Callithrix jacchus: one gene and its partner. The protein of the gene in region 2 interacts with the protein of the main gene of each other region in a biochemical or structural test. Links are inferred from orthologs where the notes say so. Each region holds a gene or a part of one and is shown on either strand. Other genes may lie near its edges.

Region 1 (2,541 bases), on a different chromosome or scaffold from region 2:
GCTACCAGGGAGGGAAGCTGAGGCAGGAGAGTTGCTTTGAACCCAGGAGGCGGAGGTTGCAGCGAGCTGAGAGCATGTCATTGCACTCCAGCCTGGGTGACAGAGCTAGACTCCGTCTCAAAAAAAAAATTTGCTTGGTGCAATGTCGTGCACCTGTAATCCCAGCTACTCAGGAGGCTGAGGCAGGAGAATTGCTTGAACTCAAGAGGCAAAGGTTACAATGAGCCGAGATTGTGCCACTGCACTCCAGCCTGGGTGACAGAGCAAGACTTTGTCTAAAAAAAAAAAAGAAAGTCTGGGCTTGTCCTGGGAAGTCTGGGGATGAAATAAAAGCAAGGAAAAAAATAAAAAATAAAAAGGCCAGGCACGGTGGCTCAAGCCTGTAATCCCAGCACTTTGGGAGGCCGAGGCGGGTGGATCACGAGGTCAAGAGATTGAGACCATCCTGGTCAACATGGTGAAACCCCGTCTCTATTAAAAATACAAAAAATTAGCTGGGCGTGGTGGTGCATGCCTGTAATCCCAGCTACTCAGGAGGCTGAAGCAGGAGAATTGCCTGAACCCAGGAGGCAGAGGTTGCGGTGAGCCGAGATCACGCCATTGCACGCCAACCTGGATAACAAGAGCGAAACTCCGTCTCAAAAAATAAATAAATAAATAAAAAGGAAAAAAAAAAATACAAGAATTAGCTGGGTGTGATGGTGCATGCTTGTAGTCCCAGCTACTCAGGAGGCTGAGGCAGGAGGATTGCTTGAGCCTGTGGTGGAGGCTGCAGTGAGTTGTGATTACACCACTGCACTCCAGCCTGGGCAACAGAGCAAGAATCTATCTCTATTTTTTAAAAAAGGTATTTGGTACTGGCTGAAGGACTGAGGAAGCCAGCTTTATTCCAAAAAAGGCCAGAATTCTATGCATAACCATGGGAAGGCTATCTTGACAGGCATCTCCCTGGGTCTGGCCACTTATCTCATAATAGATTCTGTATGACAAAGTGGCGGACCCCATACCTTCTCTTCTTCCCCATTCCAGGTGACTCGAAAAGTCCTGTTTCCTGGTGACTCTGAGATTGACCAGCTCTTTCGTATCTTTCGTATGCTGGGGACACCCAGTGAAGCCGTATGGCCCGGGGTCACCCAGCTGCCTGACTATAAGGGCAACTTCCCTAAGTGGACCAGGAAGGGGCTAGAAGAGATCGTGCCCAATCTGGAGTCAGAGGGCAAGGACCTGCTCATGGTAGGTGCACGTGGGCTCTGGCTGCTGCTCCAATAAGAGTTTCTCCTCATCAGCCGGCCTCTTACATAACCCTGGCACTTTCTCAGCCTGAGGCCAGGATTTCTTTCCTGATCCTGATACACAGTTGGCTCGTCCTTGTCCCTGAGTATACTGATTGTTTGACCTGGGAGCCTCCCCAACGATTAGGTGCAGTGTTTATCTTCCCTGTGGGAGCGGTGATCGCTGAGTTAGCTCTGTCTTTATGCCATGCTATTCGCCCTTTTCCCCGAATTGCCTTAAGTGTTTGCTATTCCTCTTTGCGGACGTTATTGCTCCATCTAAGCTGTATGCTTCCCCAGGCCAGGGCTATACCTTCTTTTCTAATTTTTTTTTTTTTGAGACAGAGTTTCCTTCTTATTACCCAGGCTGGAGTGCAATGGCATGATCTCAGCTCATTGCAACCTCCACCTCCTGGGTTCAAGCAATTCTCCTGCCTCAGCCTCCTGGGTGGCTGGGACTACAGGTGCCTGCCACCATGCCCAGCTAAATTTTTTTTTTTTTTTGAGACAGAGTTTCGCTCTTGTTACCCAGGCTGGAGTGCAATGGTGCAATCTCGGCTCACTGCAACCTCTGCCTCCTGGGTTCATGCAATTCTCCTGCCTCAGCCCCCTGAGTAGCTGGGATTACAGGCACATGCCACCATGCCCAGCTAATTTTTTATATTTTTAGTAGAGACGGGGTTTCACCATGTTGACCAGGATGGTGTCGATCTCTTGACCTCGTGATCCACCCGCCTCGGCCTCCCAAAGTGCTGGGATTACAGGCTTGAGCCACTGCGCCCGGCCTAAATTATTTTTTGAGGTAGAGACAGGGTTTCTACCTCAAAATATTGGCCAAGCTGGTCTTGAACTCCTGACCTCAGGTGATCTGCCCACCTCAGCCTCCCAGAGTGCTGGGATTACAGGGACGAGCCACTGTGCCCAGCTGGGGCCACACCTCCTACTGCCTGGGCGTTCCCCCTGTGACTCCTATGGTGGTCATTCTTCAGAACAGGCTGTTCCTTGCTGTGTGGGCCCATGCCATGGTCCTCACTCACCGCTCCTGTTGGTGCCTCAAGCTGGCCCAGGCTGGACAGCCCAGGAAGCATCTAGCAGAGCCGTCTGTTCTTTTTTTCTTTTTGAGACAGGGGGTCTCACTCAGTTACCAAGGCTGGAGTGCAGTCTTGATCTCCAAGCCACAAGCGATCTTCCTGTCTCAGCCTTCTTAGTAGCCGGGAGCACAGGTGCATGCCACTGTGCCTGGGGCATTTTTGTATTTTTTTGTAGAGAC
Region 2 (3,658 bases):
TCCAGATCAAGAAACAAAACATTGTCAACAACACATAAGACTCTCTTACATGCCCTTCCAGTCACCTTACCCTCACCACTACCACCAAGTATGTTCAATATTATCTGCTAGTTTGAAACATTTTAACACCTGGCTTTTTTAAGTGCTAGTTATGCAAAATTAACTGATTCTAGTTTCAACTTTTCTGGGAAACATTTAAGGGACAGGAGCCAAAGTTAGGGTAATTTACAAACCAGGTGATCAGTCCTAAATAATTGAGCCTTGGTCATTTGCATTTTGTTCTTTAAATACACTTTGGGTTAAACACTTCATGTAGAGTTTCAAATTGAGCTCAGTATGGAAAGAAATAACTATGTAGGAAATTAAACTTTTCTTTTTTGAGGCTAAAAGGAAGAAAACTATTTTTTTTTAGAGCAAAACCACATAATAAAATTCTGACTAGTTTTACATCATATTTATTTACTAGATTATGATGTGTTCCATGTATGGCATATGCAAAGTGAAGAATATAGACCTTAAATTCAAAATCATTGTAACAGCATACAAAGATCTTCCTCATGCTGTTCAGGAGGTAGGTGATTTTCCATAGTAAGTTTGATAAATCCATATCTGTAATAAAGATAATTTTATTCATTCACAGGCTCATATATTCTGATCTTATGTAAATTTACAAATAAAAATTTTTATATTATTTATTTGTAACTTAAATGCTTAAATGGAATTGGAAAGATAAGATAAATTATGAAATTATCCATATTCGTGGTTTTTTTATAAATTTAACAAGTAATGCTTTATCTGTGTAATAAGCAAGTATTTATAATAAACCTGGCATGAGTCATAGTACATTAGATGATCTTTTATTTTTATTACTTTATAGGAAAAGTCAGCATAAATGCAACCTTGCAAAGAAATAATAAATATGTTCAGTATAAACACATTTTGTATTTCTAAACACATTTACCTTCCCTTTAGAGAAACAGGAGTAGTAAAATATACTTGGTATGACACGTTTCATACGGTTCTGTGGAAAGTGAGTTGTGGGATATCTTTCCCATTTATTATTAGAGTTTTCAAAAGTAATACAAACCAAGTCATTTTTGTTTGTATGTTTGAAGTTATTTTAAATTCAATCATTTAAGTGTATAATGTGTCAGAGGCATTTGATATAACCTCTGTGTTTTTACCTAACTAAAATTTGAGTGAAATCTAACACTAAAATATAGTGCTTTTACTAAGTGTCTACTTCCTGCAATTGAGTAATGCTATTTAAACCCTTATAGAATGGGGCGATACAGGGAGGTACAGGCCAGAGGATATAGTCTAAATATTAATGGATAATGTCATTGGCTTTCACTTAGTTCTGGCCCTTTGATTCCCATAATGCTTTCCATTCTACCAGCCTGTCTACTCTCTCTTCTTGGATGGCCAGCTATTCCATCTGCTGCCTGGCTGTTTTTCTCAATAATCCTATGACATTTCGCTTCTAGTAGAGCATCTATAATTCAAACCTAAGAAGGCATTTTAGATTATTTTTTCCTGTATAATATGTGCTTCTTACCAGTCAAAAAGTTTTACAAACTTTTAGAAAAGAAAATCTAAAGGTAGAAATTTTAAAATTAATTTAACAAGTGAATTTTACTTTTTTTTTTTTACTCTTCTTCCTCAGACTTTCAAACGTGTTTTGATCAAAGAAGAGGAGTATGATTCTATTATAGTATTCTATAACTCAGTCTTCATGCAGAGACTGAAAACAAATATTTTGCAGTATGCTTCCACCAGGGTAAGTCAAAAGTATCCTTTGATTGGAAATATCTAATTATAAAGTAATGGGTCCCATTAAAACATTAAATAAATAATACTACTTTTTTGTTTTTGCTCTAGCCCCCTACCTTGTCACCAATACCTCACATTCCTCGAAGCCCTTATAAGTTTCCTAGTTCACCCTTACGGATTCCTGGAGGGAACATCTATATATCACCCCTGAAGAGTCCATATAAAATTTCAGAAGGTCTGCCAACACCAACAAAAATGACTCCAGGAACAAGGTGTGTGTATTTTCTCGTTAGAGAGGTAGTAAAGAATGAAAGGGGGATAATTTTGATCCAAGAATAAAAATACAACGCTTTCTTCATTTCAAATAAGCTAGACTCTTGAGTCTATTTGTTTATTTAAGTAACATAATGAGAATCTAGGGGGAAAGAAAATCTATTTACTTGGATGGGTTTACAAATTTAGTTATCAGATTTCCTGACTGCTAGGGGTATCTTCTTTTGTAAACAGTTTTTGAACCAGTTTGGTTATATGTTTCAAAACACTTTAATATTTTTGTAAGTAGTCAATCTGCTAAACAATGCAGGTTACTTTAGGTTGAGTACTTTTAGTTTGTAGTTTATTGGATGTCCTATAAATTTTGCTTCCTGTGGATTTTGTTCATTCTGCTGGTTATATTAAATGTAGATTACTGTCAATTAAGTCTTTAGAGGTCCATTCCTAATCCTGTTGGCAACCTCTTTACCACCTTACCTTGGGCAGGTCTCTATCTCTACTACACAAGGGTGCTGTGGATCAGCAAAATGATTAGTATGAAGCTGTTTTAAATTCTAAGATGAAAGGTTGTGTGCAACTATAAATCATTATATTATCTTCCCATCCAACCACAAGTGCTCTCTGGCTTTGAAGTGCTTCAGTTGACTAATTATATATTATCAGGGGCTATTTGAAACTGACTTTATTTGTGTAAAGTAGGAGGCAGATTAGCTAGTATAGTTAATGTAGTCTCATTTCAGAAATTGTCAGCCCATATGGTTGTCCCTCATGGACAAGAAAAGGGAGATATATTAGTCTTTTAGAAAATATTTGCATGGTATATTTAATTATTTAAGTAGTACATACTCATGGTAAAAATTGCAAACTCTACAGAAAAATATGAAGTAATAAATAACTGGCAATATGATACAAATGCTCTCATGTGCCTCTATATCATCCTTTATTTATTTGGTGTTCTTATAGTTGGATATCTGTGTACTGACTCCTTCTACTTGTTCCAAGCTGTTAAAATGCCACGTTATCTCTATATAAGAAAATTTACAGGCCGGGTGTGGTGGCTCACACCTGTAATCCAAGCACTTTGGAGGCCAAGGCGGGCGGATCACCTGAGGTTGTGAGTTCAAGACCAGTCTGACAAACATGGTGAAACCCCGTCTTTAAACAAAACAAAACAAAACAAACAAAACAAAAAAATTTATACAGTCCCATGCCACTGTATGAAAATGTATACTTAGGTAGTTTTTTAATAGTGATTATTAATCCATATTATGGTGATAATGATGGCTACTTCCTGATCCTTAGTGAAATCAATTGTGTTGTATTCTTTAGCAAAAAAGTCACATTCTGAACATTCTAACTAATAAATCATTGATCAGGCATTAGGAGAGCATTATATTTAGAATGATGACCACTTATCAAGGAATTGGAGGACAAAAAAAAACTTTATATGCACTAGTTCCATGTTCATGTTTTCAAATCTTTGTTGAGTCATGTCAAGCTAATGATGTTCTTCAGCTTTATTATCAAGAACATAACTTATATGGTTTAAATAAAGACAGACTAATAAAGATTTCTGACTATATATTTGATATATGATAACTAGCCTTTACTA

The links. The genes of interacting proteins can lie anywhere in the genome.
Region 1: of the proteins of RB1 (region 2) and CDK3, one has a biochemical effect on the other in vitro, tested with the Homo sapiens proteins (2 studies listed by BioGRID). The link is inferred for Callithrix jacchus from reciprocal best matches to the Homo sapiens genes RB1 and CDK3.

What each region holds. Positions count from the first base shown.
Region 1 is NC_133506.1:131,897,443-131,899,983, forward strand, and holds part of CDK3 (cyclin-dependent kinase 3), read left to right. Parts: intron 1-1,029; coding exon 1,030-1,233; intron 1,234-2,541. UniProt on the Homo sapiens protein: Serine/threonine-protein kinase that plays a critical role in the control of the eukaryotic cell cycle; involved in G0-G1 and G1-S cell cycle transitions. Interacts with CCNC/cyclin-C during interphase. Phosphorylates histone H1, ATF1, RB1 and CABLES1.
Region 2 is NC_133502.1:67,484,611-67,488,268, reverse strand, and holds part of RB1 (retinoblastoma-associated protein), read left to right. Parts: intron 1-466; coding exon 467-571; intron 572-1,666; coding exon 1,667-1,780; intron 1,781-1,881; coding exon 1,882-2,045; intron 2,046-3,658. UniProt on the Homo sapiens protein: Tumor suppressor that is a key regulator of the G1/S transition of the cell cycle. The hypophosphorylated form binds transcription regulators of the E2F family, preventing transcription of E2F-responsive genes.